Caenorhabditis elegans: one gene and its partners. The protein of the gene in region 2 interacts with the protein of the main gene of each other region in a pairwise test. Each region holds a gene or a part of one and is shown on either strand. Other genes may lie near its edges. The genes, in order: abu-10, K08E7.5 and crim-1.

Region 1 (5,460 bases), on a different chromosome or scaffold from region 2:
ATTCTCCCCCCAACCGCCGTTGATCGGCTTCTTCTAGTCACAGTTGCTGTGTGAATGTCTTAGTATGTGTGACACAACGACGAAACGCGATTTGAACTCAAATAAATGTTTCTCTATTCTGCCAAACTTTTTTCATTGTCCCCAGATTTAAGGAAATTGCTTTCAGCACCATGTCATTTCGCGGAAGCTCGGCAATACTGGTGAACAATAGTGGCGACCCGCCAAACGGAAGGACTATGGCGGCGGCAATAGCGGCGGCCAAGGTTAGTTGGGGAAGAACTTCGTGGAAAGCGTTGTTTCCGTTCCAGTGATTTTCAATTATTTCCCATCACGAACATCTCTTCAAATTACTGATTTTCCAGCCAAGTGGCCTACTGCCGGATGACTTGGGAACCAAGCAAGCCAAAGTGATCATGGACTACGATGCAGTGCTGCCACAAGAGATCAGCGTCACCCAGAATGATGTGAGTCTTGAGAGGAGGACCCCTATTGAAACCAAATATTGTGTGAAATTACGTCTGCTCTTGTTGCAGATTCTCATCGTGTATCGCCTTCCTGGAATGGATGCGGAATATGTGATGGCTGAAAAAGGAGGAAAACGCGGAAAATTGCCTGTCAGCTATATTGAGCTGCTCTAGAAACGCTGCATTCATTAATTTATTGTCTTAGTACTTTGTTCATGTGCCAAAAATGTTTTAGTAAGGTGTCTTATTTATTGTGGAAGATCTCAATTGAAATGTGTCTATTTATTTGACTCCTCAAATGCGCTTATTATTGTATAGGTTATTTAGATTTAAAATAAATGGGAAATTTAAAGATCAAAAATTCGTTAACAATATTGAACACAATATAAAAAGTTTAGTTTTGAAGAAAACTCTCAAATCTCTTCTACGATTGCTGTTTTAGATAATGATAGAACCAACCCTTTGTGAAAATCTTCTGGTTTTCAAACTTCAAATAGAGTTTCCTAAAAGAAAATTGCATTTTTCTCAAATCTTTTTCAGTGATTTTGTTGTAATTTAGACGAAAATTGGTAATTTGAACATCATAGAAATGATTCTTAATCATTTTTTCATTTATATCTTCATTGCATATACTCATTGTGTAAAAGGAAATAATATAAAACTACTTTATGTAATGGCAATAATATTACCGAAATGTACAAATAGTTTGCGTGAAGTCGAAAAAGAAAGACATGGTCAGAAATGAGTTCGTTTAGGCGATCGATCGCTTTGCCTTGCGGTTGGTGTATCTGTATCTAAGACAGCAGGTCTGCTCGGCGCACTTGACGTATCCGCGTTGGCATACGCATTGGTTAGCATCGCAGGAAGTAGTAGCTGACGAATGTTGGGATTGTTGGTTGGTGTACGAAGCGGTGCACGATGACTGGCAAGCTGGCTGGCAAGCTGGGACGCACTGATTGATTGGTTGCGCTTGTTGAACTTGGACTTGGAAGGTTGGCTGAGCTTGTTGGGCGCAATCACAGGATGGCTGGAAGTTTAGATATCCATAGTTAATTTACTGGTCAAAAAGCAATAGTCTTTACCTGAGCCTGTTGGCAAGCGCATGGGTTTTGCTGAACAACTGGGGCACAATCACAAGCTGGCTGAGCTTGTTGGCAGCACGGGTTCTGTTGAACTGGGGCACAGTCGCAAGTTGACTGTAATTCACAAACTTAATGGAAAACTCTGGAGTGTGATTTACCTGAGCCTGTTGTTGGCAGCATGGGTTCTGCTGGACTGGAGCACAATCACAGGCTGGTTGCTGTTGGACTGGGGCACAGTCGCAGGCTGGCTGAAATTACCGGACTAAAAAAAATTGTTCAAAATGCCATACCTGAGCTTGTTGGCAGCATGGGTTCTGTTGAACTGGAGCGCAATCGCAAGATGGTTGCTGTTGGACTGGAGCGCAATCACAGGCTGGCTGAAACTTCAAAAGTTCATCCAACATTTACCAAATATATTGTACCTGAGCTTGTTGGCAACATGGGTTCTGCTGAACTGGAGCACAATCGCAAGCTGGCTGTTGAGCTTGTTGCTGACGGATCTCGATTTGGATGCAGGTCACACATGATGGGTTTTGTTGGCAGTCACAAGCTGGTTGTTGAGCAACTGGAGCACAATCACAGGCTGGTTGTTGTTGTGGCTGCAAAGATGGGTTACTTTTATTCGTCGCTCTTACATTAACAGCCTACCTGGCAGTCACAGGCTGGTTGCTGTTGAACTGGAGCGCAATCGCAGGATGGTTGCTGTTGCTGGCAGGCGCATGGATCTTGTTGAACTGGAGCACAGTTACAAGCCGGCTGCTGCTGTTGTGGCTGGCAAGCACATGGATCTTGCTGAACTGGAGCACAGTTGCACGCAGGCTGCTGCTGCTGTGGCTGGCAAGCACATGGGTCTTGAGCTGGAGCTTGTTGGACCTGAGTGTACTGAACCTGGACATTGATGGTGGATTGTTGGCAGCACGATGGTTGCTGCTGAACTGGGGCGCATGAGCAAGCCTGACGCTTTTCTCTAAGAGTTGGTGCCGAAAGTGCCTGAAAATGGCGGGGAATTTATAAATAAAATGGAATGAAAAAAAAAAGAAATCTCACCAGGGCGACAATAGCAAAAATTGAAAATGCAGAGCGGAACATTGCTGCTTTTGTTAGAGAGTATTCGAAGCCAAGCTACTACTGACAACTCAACTTTTGCTCCTCATATTTATACGCGCCCGCCGGGAGGAGTCATGGCAAGAGGGTAAGACCGGCATGCGCAAGAACAGGCGACAAAAAAGAACGAAGGCAGTTTCAATTGTGCATCAAACACAGATGAGTAGTTATGATCGGATTAGAGCACCTGTGGGAATATGGTAAGGAGGGGGAAAAAAGTTTAGTCAGAGAAAATGAAAACCGTGTGCTGAAAAAATGCGTGCACACAAATAAACATTGTTTGTTTTTGGCTTCTTGCGCACATGAAATTTTGCCGAAGACGCATACTATCCAAAGTGATGTTAGCTATAATATATTTCAGTCTAGTCTTCTAACCAGTTTAAAAACACTTCAATTGTGTCAAGAGAGATATTGGCTCACCAATTCAAAACTCGAGTCTACTAATTTTAGGCCCTACTTTACAAAAAAGTGTGACAGTTGAATCTACTGTACTTTTCCAATTTGTCAGACATTTTTTTCCTCTTTCGAGACAATAAATAACGGCCCAACGTCGCAAATGTGAATGTTTAAAAATTTTGTTTCATTCAATGTCCAGTGTTTTCCAATAGTTCACAGAATGTTCAAGTTGTAGAAGGTTCTCTTTATTCTCATTTGAAATTGTAATTTAATTTGAAAAAAATCGAGGTTAGGTTGCATTGTTAAGCTTAAATTTTTTCAAAGCATGACTAGTAAACGAACGACTATTTTGCACCGATTTGTAAAAAAAAAATTGATTATTATATCTTTTTAGTTGGAGTACCAGCAAGCTATTTTGAAGATCTTTCTTTTGTATCAAGTAATATTGTTCTGAAAGTATTTCTGAAAGGTAGTAGTTTAATATCCCATTTTCAGTAGAGCTTTTTTTCCCAATTTTTGTCTAGACCGTCTTGTAATATATCCGTTATAGTTTTCAACAATACGTGAATGTAGTGACACAGAACTTTCAATCTCCGAACACTTGCATTGAAAAGTTCAAGTGATGCGTTATTTGCAAATAGTCCGTAAATAGAGACCGCGTCATAGAAGAATACAAGCTGAGAAACTGGTTAACGCTTTCAGCTGTTGCATTTGCACAATCTCTCGTTGATTCTTCTCCCTCCCAACAAACAAATACAAAGAACCCCAATTATCACATTCTTCATTACTCAGACCGCTTGCCTTTACTTTAGATACCGGTTGAGGGGTTGAGTTGAGTTCGATTGCCGGCTGGATAAAAGGTTGCAATGTTTGTGTCTGAGGATGAAGGAAAGCAGCACAAAAAGTTGCGCCGGAATCGGATTAAAAGCTCAGGGGTGGTCATGTTACAGGAGAGTTGAGCAACGTACGAGAACCGGTACGTGAGCACTCTGTGCCGGCTCTGTTTTATCAGTGTGCCCGCAAAAACGCATGTACTTGAAATATATGTTCGTTTGATGTGATGAGGAACGTTTTCGAATTATGCGTGTTTTCAGACCATTGGGATGAGCTCAAAAGTTTGCTGGGAGGGGGGGGGGGGGAGGGTGATCTAGTTTTACATTAAATACTCATTCACTAAAAGTATGTTTCCATTAAATTTTATTTTCTGAAAATGGTCAACAATGTTTTTTTCAGTGTTTTTTTTCACGTAAGAAACATGGAGTTCTGACTTTTTCATAATTAACATCAAGGTATTAGTATTTATTGTGAATGGTTTCTCTATAAAACAAAACCTTCTGTTATTTTTAAATATGGATCTACGGTGTAGCTGCAAGCCTTTTCACAAGATGAAAAGATTTTGTAAGAAACTTTTTGAAATTTTTCAAAATGTTTTCAAAAATAAAAAAAAAATGACTGAAGTTTGCTGTAGTCTTCATTTTTGTCCACTAGTGCGTGTAACTTTATTACAAAAGTATAACAAAATCTTCTATTATTTCCAGAAACTGTTTTTTTTTTGCCTGATTGTCAGTGGAGTACACGGTTTCTATTTATTAAAAAAAAAATTAACTTGTGACCATTTTTGCATAAATAAATTGGCAAAATATAATATATCTAGTCATATATTTCCAACTTTTAAACTGTCATAACAATTTTTTAATCATGAAATCATATCAGTATGTGCCAATTGTAGTGTTTCCAAAAAGTGTCTCCCAGCGTTCCATCAGGATTTGGTTCAAAGTTCACAAGCACCATTTTGCTATATGATCTTTATCCGAGCTCTTTTTCTCCGCCAGAGTTGCCAAAATATAGTCTGCGACATTTTTTCCACCTTCTCCCAATTCAACTCAAAAGTATACAGTTGCACGCGATACAATTCTGGATTCCCGTATTGTGCTCCGCTTCGTTTATTTGAACTACCACCAGGCCGAGCAAAAAATTAAATAAGTAACAATGAGTCAAGAATTTTTTGTGGGGGGGGGGGGTTGATAATCAAAGATGAGCAGCAAATGAGTGTAGTCCAATCTTCAAGTGTGTGTAATCAAATAGAACCTTTGATTTTTTGCTCTTTGTGCACATTCGCATACACAAATCTTGCAACAAATATTGCTGCAAATATTGAACATCCCGCTGAAAACAAGCTCATATAATTGAATTAAAGAAAATTCTTTTTAATTTAAAAAAAGAAAAGAAGCAAAAACATATTCATTTAATTCGAATTTAGTTTGTATTGAATTTCTTACAGAAACTTTCTCCTTACACTTCAGAATTCACGAAACGAACTATTATGACTAAGCATTCTGGATATAGTCCGGTCCATCTTGTCACGGAACCCAAACGCAAACATTGAAACTGACCCGAATATAAAACGGTCTGCG
Region 2 (5,460 bases):
CGCCTCGAGACCGGTACCGTACTTTTGTCGCGAACTTTTGCGTCTGCGTAATATCAATTTTAAATTTTCGATTTCAGGCAATCATCGGACTCTGGACAGGTGTTTGTAGTAAATGCCGAAAGCAACAAGGAATGCTGATAACCGCTGTCCTCCTCGCAAACTTTCAATCTCTTTTTGCAGTACCTGTTGAATTTATCGAACAGGTCAAACGATTGGAATGTGAAGAAAAGGACAGATATAGTGGTCCTCGGTACGCAAAGATCACCAGAAGTCGAAATGATTGGCAACCACCAGTTCCGGATAAACCGCAAGCATCTCCGGCAGTTTTTAAGAAACCACTAAGAGAAGTGGCATGTGAGAAAACGAAGAAAGGATTGTTCACAAGATTGCTGCGTAAATAAATCTAAAAATCTTCGCCCCATGTATATATTCAATATATTATTTATTTTGTTCCATTCCTCCCCGCTCACCGAATTCTTGTGTCATTATCATCATTTTTCTAAATGTTATTTTACAATTCTGGTTGAATTGAAATTCTCGATGTTCGTTTTGTTCCATAAATTTTGACGATGATTTATCTATATGTATTTATTTTCTTCTATGCTTTAATAACACAGAAAAGGGGGAATTTCAAAAAATTTATTAGGATACATTGAGGACTATTGTGGGATGGCGAGCTCCTCGTAGTTGCCCTCCTAAAAACGTTCGTTTTGTCTTTTAAAATATGCCAAAAATAACTCACATCTTCTTTCTTTGGAGCCACTGGTTCATCCTTCTTTGACGATGGAACGTCTTGTTTCTTCGAATCGAATGAGTCGCTTTTTCCGACTCCTCCAGCAGGTGCTGCCATAAGTTTAGCGACCGGTTTTGGAGCCACTGTTTTCTTCTTGCTCCCACAATGGACCAGCACAAATGGCAAGATATTGAGAGTTAATAGCAAAATGATCTGGAAGCGAGAGGTTTGGAAAATATCAGAATCCTGACAGAAAACTCACTTGCGAGATCATTATTCTTTTTTCGCTTCCGAGAGGTTTTGAATCTTGTAAAGTGAGAAAATATGAATTTTGTAGATTTTCGGAGGCTTTATATATGAGAAATTGTAAGGGGAAGAAATGTTCACGGAAATTCAAAGTTCGAAGGTTGAAATTTTTCAAATTTTCTATCACAAAACACATTTTCGGTTCGCGTTAATAGTTTTCAAATTGGTTTTTTTTTTCATTTTTAATGAGTTTAAAGTTTAGAAATTTGGTTCTACATTAACATATACTTTGTGACAGAGATGGGCGGCAACTGCCGTTTGGCAAATTGGAAAAATTGAATTGCCGGTTTGCCGATTTGCCGGAAGTTTTGGAGGGACTTTTTATAAGATGGAAGCGTTTAAAATTGTGCCTTTTTGAAAATTTCTTCCCGTTTTCTTTAGATATTTTCATAGAACTTGTTTACTTTTCAAAATAGACGTAGGAAAAATCATAGGATGCGTACAATTTTGCCGATTAAAATTGAAATTCTGAAAGAACCGGCCTTCCAGCAATTTTCAGTATTTTTTCTGAAATATTTGGCAGCATCTGAAAGCATTTTTCAACATCCTGTAAATTTTGGCAAATGTGGGCAATTTTTTTTGCAACACCTGGGCCGGCAATTTCTTAATCACAGCGGTAGCGACGAGAGTTTGAAATTACAGTACTCTTTAGAGACGCAAACCTTTTCGCATTAAATAAAATGAAAGACTAATTTTCAATTGGTCCGTGGGGTGCAAGACTAATAGAGACTAATAGAGGAAATACAGCATATATTTTTATTAGATGGTGCAAAGTCCTATTTTCCCAGAAGATCACATCTTATTAAATTAAGATTCTCTGGTTCGCTGCCCCCTTCTCTTCCAAAGTTTCCTCAAAAATATATCCGAAGGGAAAATAAAAAATAATATGCGCAGACGATAATAAAAAAATATAGACAAAAACCCGATTCTCTAAGAGATCAAGCACGTCGATTACGTTATATTATTTTTCCCCTGTCAAATTTCATTGTTATGCAACATCTGCATGACGTCCATCTTCTGGACAAGACCGAGAGATGATATGGGCGGTCTGTACACGTTTTTTTTCTGTCTTTCAGATATCTCATCGTAATAAGCTTGCAGATATTTTTCTAGTATAGTTTTATCTAACATTTCTGACATTTTCAAAAATTTTCAAAATTGAAGCGAAAAAGTTGGTGGCCGAGTTGTTATTTATTCCCGGCCACATCGCAAAAAAAATCATAATTTACTCTGTTTTTGGAAAATTAGGTAAAAATTACTTTCAAAAACAGTAAACAATGGTTCAAAGTTGCATGTCCAGTTTTTCACTTCGTTCTTGTATACTCCCCCTGGTAAAATGTCTACTTCTATTTGTAAACTTGCTGATTTTTGAATCCTTAATAACTCAGTACCTGTAAGAGATACAAAAATATTGTCAACTATCAAAATAATCAAAATTGTCTCAAAAATATTTTGTCAGTTGACAATATTTTTCCAACTCCTATCCCAACGGAGTTATTCGTTCCATAAGAGATCACATTTTCCACAGACCACACCCCAATTATTTCCAATAAATCAGAAAATAATCAAAGTCCATTATCACTGCTTATCCCGTTAGCCATGTTTCATAGAAGGGCTAAATGATAATGGATTCTTCTTTTTTCAACATTCTCCTTCTCCTTCTTGCCTGTCGGTTTCCTTTTCCGATCCAGAGAAGAAGGGGAAACTTGTCGATTAGCCAGTTCACAAATCAAGAAATACCGGTGGATTCGGAAATTTCTCTTTCTCGAGATTTTTGACATGCTTTCGGTTTGACCCTTCTATGTGTCATTTAAGTTTTTTTTTGTTTATTTTCGTTGGAACATTTTGAAAACTAGTGTAAATCTGTTATTATAAGTTTATTCGTTTATTTAAGTACATTTTCGGTCAGTGGGGTCTAAATAAAAGTTACATTTTTGTGTCCCACTAACTTTTTAACTTTTTTTTGAGAAATTTTCAAAACGTTTCATTAAACGCGGTAGTTTTTGGTCATTTTGGGCATAAAAAGGCAAAGTCTTCAATTTAGGTACTAGAGTTTTTAATATCAGTCCGTCATTTTAGTTTTTGATTTGTTTCCTTTTTTATTTTTAGTTTGTTCCTAAATTCTGAAAGGCTATATCACTATTGTTCTGGATTCTACCAATTAAACTTTGATATAATTTCTTAAAAAATAGTTTGCTCCTAGAAATTGTAAAGTCAAAACCCTTCTTTCTATCCTGTCTGCAACTTTCAATTTTTCAATAAAAACTAAACACAGATATTCTAGATCAATTCCATATGCGAAGGCTTTTGATACATCTAGTTGTCCTTCTAGTACTATTACTAGAAGGACACAATGTTCTAGGGTTTGCAAGTGCGCCAGGGACCTATCCAGAAGAAGAAACACGAGCTGGTAATGATATGGAAGTGCCCAAAAATCCATATGAAAGCACATGGACCGGATATGATTTTTATTATGAAAAGGAGCCAAAGAAGGGTACGTTAGAAAAAATATGCAATTTTTGAAATTTATTTTCCAAATTATTATCAATTTTTCCCTGTAAATGTTGGCCGAGTTTATCTTGCACTTTATATTACGTTTCATTTCCAGATTATCATTTCTCGGCAGTCATGTAGCAAAATCAGAATAGCCTGTCAATAACTTCCTTCTAATTTTCAGTCCCACCCTCCGCAGGCAGCGGAAAAATGCCAGCGTTCCAGTCGATCGCGTCCATCTCAACAGACCGTGAATCTCCAGAAGACCCAGGAAATAGTGGTTATTTAGCGTCCGGAGCCGAATCTGGACCCAAGAAAACCACGTCGAAACCTGCAACAACACCCACTCCAGAACCTACCACTACTCCCGTAGAAGAAGAAAAAGTAAAAGTGTCGCCGAGCAGTAGTACTAAAGGTTGGTGGAAAGTTGAGTTTTGTGGCCACGTAGAAATATCTCACCTATGCACCAGAACACCTAAATAGTGGTTTCACACACACGTGTTTTATAAAACTTCACTCCAGATCCATCAAAGCTGCACAAAACCACCAAAACACCTGTCACTATCACAAATATAATATCAACCACCACTGCACCACCAGCGCCATCTAGAGCACCAGAAAATGATCCGGAATCCGGATCCGACCAATCGGAGAGCACTGATAATTTGGATTTACTTTACGGCGGGGGAAGTTCTGCCACAGCCACCGGGGAGGATAAGAAAGGTATTTGGAATAGGAAAATATAATTGAGTATCTAGAGAATATGTAAAACTAACGTTCTAAATATTTAACATCTGAAAACAATTTTCTAGTAGTGTCACATGTCACATTGTAGATTTTGTGTACTGCCTTTTTCAACTTTTGGAGTTCAAATAAAGATAGGTCTTCTGAATACATGTAGTGGCCATTGTCATCGACATATAAGCGCAAAATAGCGCACAAGTGGACATATAAGCGCAAAATTCAAAGTTAGCCAGATTATCAAACTGTCTTTAAAACCAGCACGGCACTCTACCACTAATAATCCCAACTTTTGCACAGACCCTCCCAAACTGCATGATCCACCTCCACCGCATCCATCTGCACCACAAAACCTTTTAACCCAATTGATTCAAAAGAAGAAGGATGCACCAAACAAAGGATCATCTGAGAAAAGTTCCAAATGGTCAGATGATCATGCTTCCGGGTATCCGGAGGGAAGTGCTCCTAGCGCTGAGCCATCTGAAAACCAGTATGAGCAAGATGGTTCTATTCCATCGTCGAATGACTACAAAGAGCTCACAGATGTACCAGGTACAAAGCCAAGCTCTTCAGCTTCACGTGGTTCAAATATGGCAGGTAACCCCACAGCACCGCTCACCACCACTCAGCACACTTTTGCACCAAACAGCACTGAAACATCAAGATCTTCTACTAGCAGAGGAAAGGCTCCTGGGACCGAACCTAAGTCTGAAGCTCGGTATAGCTCTCAGAATCCTTACTCAGACAACTCGAGCACCCAGAAGCCAGAATACGAATCTGGATACCCAGCGGTGTCTGGAGCAAACTCAAGAGCCCAAATTCCTAATATCACGGACTACACTAAACCATCAGCAGTGTCAATTGAATACGCATCAAGCTCGAAGGAAAGGTCTGATCCTCCATTTTCAACACCCTTAACATCTAATTCACAACATGTACTTACACAGCCAAGGCCAAGGGATTATGAAGATGGCCCGCAGGAGACAACTCGGACAAAAGCTAGTGGCACAAAATCACCTAACTCACTCCAAGCACCTCAACAAACTGCAGCACATCTCATGAAAAATGCCAGAGCACCTGGTCCGGAGCCAAGTCTTCACAGCACTACCACTCACCACGTACAAACACCAATTATCACCATAGCACCCAAGTTTTCAGAACCATCACCATATGCAGAAAATATTATG
Region 3 (5,460 bases), on a different chromosome or scaffold from region 2:
ATATAGAAAATAATGAAAGGCATTTTTATTTTGAAGTTTCAAACAAGTTTATTTTTATTTGTTGAAAATAATTTTTGTATATCAAATTTTTCTGATTTTTCCTTGTTATTTAAGCACAGAAATGTCGGGAATAGCCATTTTGAAATTTCAAAGTATGTACACATAATTTTTGATATATACTAAGACATTTTCAAATTCAAATGAGAAGCAGAAAGATTTGCCGATGACAAAAATAGAAAAAAAAATTTCATGAAAAGAAGCTTAACCATTACTAATCTCCAAGACACCAAGCTCTTCTTTCCGTAAAAAAATTATCGAAATGATTTACGTCGTCCCGCATATGGCCAACTCTATGCAACACTTGAAGACAAAGTAGGCGGAGTCAATTGAGGGAGACAGAGGTTAGACACTTCTCGAAACTCTGTTCTTTTTCGGTGTCGCGCAATTGGTTAGTCATTCGTTCCGTTTTTTTTTTTTGAAATTTTCTGTTTCCTATGCAATCATAATTCGAAAATTGAATTAAAGTTTGATGGCATCTTGAACGAAACAACACGGAATAGACAAATACAGGAAGGAGTACATTTTTGAACTGAAAATCCAGACAAAACCAAATGTGCTTGAGCATAAAATAATTCGAGATCAGGTTGAGACGGAAATTCTACAACAAGGCCGATCGTGGCTCGTTGTTCCATTATATTTCAGTAAAAATGTAGAAAATGTTTTAATAATCTATAAACTTTTCATTTTGAGTTAAAGGAGTTGGGAGGTGCTTAATGATGGCTTAAAATCTTCCAATTACCAAACATTGGAACAACATGCCGCAATCAAGAATTTTCTAGCTCACTCCTTTTCTAGATCTTGAAAGAAATTGATAAAAACAATTTATTTTTGAACAATCTAAGTATTTTTTAACAACATTCAAGTTTTGGTATGCTCAGAATCCTTGCAATATTTCAATTACTTGATATCCCCATTGCCTACATTGTCCGATTTTTTATCCACAACAAGATCGTTTCAATTCTCAAGTTAGTCCAACCCATTTTCTACCTTTGCAAGCCGCCCTATCTGCGGACACAACATAGAGGACTTTTTGGTTAAAAAACTGCGGGCAGAGTGAAGTAAAGTAAATAGAAATTGTATATTCGGGAGAGCAGGGTGGATTGCGTCGTCCGGCGAGCACACACGAGAAGCCTCAGCACAAGAGAACCGCCACCATTTTGAGAAGTCATTTTTTATAGGAAGAGAAAATGAAAGAGAGAGAGAGATAGAGAGACTGAGAAGAAACCCTATCAAATTTCAGCAATAAAATAAGCCCAATAGTAACTCTAGAGCACCCTTTTCTTTTTAATTAGGAAGCATTCTGGACCTCGAAAAAACAACCAAAGTTCTTTCAAATCGAATGAAACATGCAAAGGGACTTTGAAATATTGAAGAAAATATACCTTTACATCGACTTGAACCATCAAGATCGTTTTCCTGATGACATGAAAGATGCGAATCACAAACAAGACCAGGCCCGTCGCAAGTTTCACCGATTTGTCGAATGCAGACCTGCAAGTATAACTTTTTGTTTATTGTTTGAAAGCCGTTAAAAAAGACCGCACATACTTTTTTATAGACTTTTGACTTATGTTTAAGTTTATTCAGTGTATTTCTTTTTGTAGAAACAAAATTATAACTAAAACCGCGGTTTAAAAACCGAAAGTAAGATTTAAGGGACAGTTATTATCATTTGAAACTTAGAAAGTTGAACCACTTTCAAAGCAATTAGGATTATTTTTAATGTACCGTGTTTCCTCTATTAGTAAAAAAAGTACTAATTATCGGGAACCTATCTATGTGCAATTTCATTATAGGAATAAGAGGAATAAGAGCTCTAAGAGGATACACGGTATCTGAATTATGCGTTTCTATCAAACGGTTCTTCGTTTTGGTACTGATTTGACTGTGTAGCATAATACATTAAAGCTCATCTTTATTCAGTTGTTTCACTGAGCATTTGATCCTTTCATTTGTTCATTTGATCATTGTCCAATAATAATTAAGTTATTGGGGATTTATGATAATAGTTAGAATTTTAGTCATGAGAAATTGTGGAAAATTATTTCAAAAGCTCACATTCAATGTTCTGGAATTTTAAAAAGAAAATTAAAACTGAGGAACTAGAATATTAAAATTAATTTTAAAAATAAGTTTTAAAGAATTGTTAAACCATAGTTCGTTTTCTATCAAAATTTTAAATTACTCACTTCGCAGCAATCGCACTGATCCTTTTTCAATTGCTCGCATCCTGAAACATCTGGACATGAATCCTTGTCACATGTCCCGCACAATGTGGTCTTTTGGTTTTTTGCATTGGAAATGATAAGAAATGTGAAGAGTAAAATAATACTACTTGACCACTGCATTTCAACAATTCTGCATAACCGTTTTTGCCGTTCAGCGGAGAAGCCGCGTGATGAACGGCCCACAAGCTCTGCAAAGAAAAATATGAAAATTGTAGTCATGTATATAAATTTTTTGTCGATTTTTTTGGGACCATGTAACTAAGATTTCAATTCAAATGAAAAAGTAAGTAAAACGAGAAACAGAGAGACCGTCTCGTAGTGTCCCAATTTGAAATGAACTGTGTCTGTGCAGGCCCCGCCTTTGAAAATCGAACTGCGCGGGATCTTCACGACGGTAAAGCACAAGAATCAGAGAGGTTATAGACAACGAAAGTGATCCGAGTCGATCGGTGAAGAAGCTGCACTGTCAAAGAGAAAGAACACAAGCGAGCAAGCAGGGAGACGAAAAAAGGTCTGTTGACATTGGGCGAAAGACAAAATGATGAAGGTGCGCGGAGACAGAAAGATGGTAGCAGAAGCTCGTAGTATACCGAACTGGCGCCCGATGGATTAGAACACTTTGTTTTGCAATTCAATAGAAAGAAACAACAACATAATTAAGAAGAAACACTCAGTTCATTTGACAAAGGAGACCTAGTTCCGTGTTATAACATTGATAATGACTTTCATCAAAGATTCTAAGTTTATTCATGTTTACTTTAGAAACTAGAACCAGATCAAACAAAAAAAAATAGGTGGATGTTCCTATGCTACCTACTCAAAAGAACAGTTTTTACTTAACTATTTGTTTTATTCCACAGTTTTTCAAGAGAAGAGAAGTTATCTAGTTTTCAAAAATAACAAGTGATTTTATTACTGATAAAACTATTACGTCTCGTGCAAAATGTTCATTTGAAGAATTCAACTTTCAAATGATTCCGGAATTATCTTCAACGTTCACTAAAGAATTTACCGTTTGAAATGCAGAAAAAAAGAATATTGAGGAGCAGGAAACCTGGAATATTTGAAATCTGGAGAAAATGAAACCCTGAAAAACACACAGAAAACTGGTCGCTAAGCGTGTCAACCTTACAAAAAGATTACGGTACTTTCCCTATTAGCCTTGTACATTTAATGCTCTATCTTGGCAGCTCATATTTGGTTATCCTTGGTATTATCACAAATTTTGTCAATACTAAAATATCAAAAAGTAATTGGCACCAAATTTATGTGCTACATTTTTAAGCCGAAGAAAACCTAGAAATAGTTTCTTAAAGTATATCAATAAGGGTAGTGCTATATTTTGTGGTATTCTATTGAGAAGTTTCCAATTAATTAGGAAGACATGCCAATCAGCCGAATGATCGAAGAGCATTCAAATCGTATTAAATTTGAAATAATACTTCTTTAACTTTAAAAAAGTACACAATGTTCCACAAAAAACGATTCTTATGAAAACTCAATAAAAATCGCCTGGTTTAGGCCATAGTAAATTTTTTATGTGTTCAAAATGCTCTTATCAACTTGAGTGAACGAGGACAAGAAAATAGACAAAAAACGAGTCGATGAGAGATGGAAAAGGAAACATTGAAACCATTTAGATTATGCGGGTCTAGACGGGAAAAGGTAAAAAAACGTCTCATGGAGGTCTCATTGAAATACATGCTGCCTCAAATAAGAAACCGGTAAGGAACGGTGTGATAAAAGATAGAAAATGAGATGAATGTATGGTAAAGAAGGAGAGGTGTTTTGTTATTAGTGAGGGTGTAAAAATATTAGAAGAGGAATTTCAGAGATAGAGGAGAAAGAGTGGAACGGAATGCCTTTTCAGCAAAAATTCCCTTTCTTCTCTTGTAGCTCGGTAATTTTTTATCACAAACACTTCATCGACGTCTTTCACTAAAAAAAGAAAAAAAGAAAACAGTTTGAAACTATCGAGAAAGGATGATGATCGAGAGGATGATTGGCGTGAAGGTGAGAAGATTGATTACAGTGTATATTGGCGTCGAAATGTCTCTTCGGTATATTTCTCCTTTTGCCTTCGAAAGGAAAAAATGACAAGAGGTTAGAAAATGGAATGTGTTTGACTCATTTTCATGGTTATCAGTAGAATGTCGATCAGCTGCGGGTGCTCGAAGAGCAAGCATCATCGGTAGCCAAAAAGTGACGAGAAATTGGAATGATGGACAGGAAACGGAAGGGCAAGAAAATATTTATGGAACAATAAAATGAAGTTTATGTCGAAATTGAAAAGTTTTGAAATTTGAAATATATTTTCTAGTATCAGCTCGTGTGTTTTAATACGGTAAGTTATACGAGGTACGTCTCAGAGAAAATTCCAAAATTATCAAATGCTTTCGGTTCTAGAAGCTTGCTTCCCAGTTTTCTGTAAAAAGAAAGTTTAAACACTTTGGATAACACTGGTTCTAATGGATTATATAAATTTCCAAAACCTTTTGTACCAAGTTATCGAAAGAAACTTTTAATTCGAAAATAGCTAGAAAGTTTTGTTTCCACGAAGAAACAAAATGCCTACTTCTGTGCCTAGAAGGCAGAAATAACTCGCCTTGAATGGGAGAATAGTTATGTATCACTCTTTCCTAGTTCAAATTATCTAGAGGTAGGCGGTTTTTTTTGCAATTGACAGATGCATCAAAGCTGATTTGAAATTTGTGGTTCAGCACAGAAACATTTTAAAGCGTTGTTCCCTATTTGTATTGCACACCACTATTACATAAACTTAAATCAGAGAATGTTCACCATATCTTACGCGCATGGTCTCGCCGCGTGGGTATTGAGTTACTGTAATTCTTGTCAATAAATGTTATGTATGTAAACTTCAAAATAAATGCAATCGTTTTAATATTTTCGCCAAGTTCCGCGTGATTTTAATATTGGTATTTTAAAAACTAGAATCCAATCAGTATAACTTTGTGAGATTCAGTTCAATTCACATTTCCAGTTCAGTTCGTATCTTCAAAAATAATAATTTTCATTTTTTCACAACTGATCGAGAATCGAAATCCAAAAAACATAGGTTCACCGACGGTTCAATAAACAAAAAAGTTTAAACTATTCTGAGAGTAAAGCAGCTATAAAAAGTTCCAATTTGGCTTCAACACAGACGAGACCT

The links.
Region 1: the proteins of K08E7.5 (region 2) and abu-10 interact in a two-hybrid assay, tested with the Caenorhabditis elegans proteins (2 studies listed by BioGRID).
Region 3: the proteins of K08E7.5 (region 2) and crim-1 interact in a two-hybrid assay, tested with the Caenorhabditis elegans proteins (2 studies listed by BioGRID).

The regions. Positions count from the first base shown.
Region 1 is NC_003284.9:3,795,398-3,800,857, reverse strand, and holds abu-10 (Activated in Blocked Unfolded protein response), read right to left. Parts: upstream 2,677-5,460; 5' UTR 2,636-2,676; coding exon 2,594-2,635; intron 2,537-2,593; coding exon 2,195-2,536; intron 2,146-2,194; coding exon 1,969-2,145; intron 1,924-1,968; coding exon 1,837-1,923; intron 1,795-1,836; coding exon 1,705-1,794; intron 1,661-1,704; coding exon 1,547-1,660; intron 1,492-1,546; coding exon 1,216-1,491; 3' UTR 1,117-1,215; downstream 1-1,116. Other genes in the region: F35A5.8 (SH3 domain-containing GRB2-like protein B1), read left to right, coding at 167-263, 363-464, 534-638.
Region 2 is NC_003282.8:12,570,047-12,575,506, forward strand, and holds the start of K08E7.5 (Prion-like-(Q/N-rich)-domain-bearing protein), read left to right. Parts: upstream 1-3,321; 5' UTR 3,322-3,334; coding exon 3,335-3,533; intron 3,534-3,716; coding exon 3,717-3,947; intron 3,948-4,054; coding exon 4,055-4,255; intron 4,256-4,573; coding exon 4,574-5,460. Other genes in the region: Protein let-99, read left to right, coding at 78-401; K08E7.4 (uncharacterized protein), read right to left, coding at 660-695, 743-946, 996-1,007.
Region 3 is NC_003283.11:10,329,637-10,335,096, forward strand, and holds the start of crim-1 (Cysteine-rich motor neuron 1 protein-like), read right to left. Parts: upstream 2,477-5,460; 5' UTR 2,409-2,476; coding exon 2,250-2,408; intron 1,552-2,249; coding exon 1,443-1,551; intron 1,201-1,442; exon of another isoform or gene 1,061-1,200; intron 1-1,060.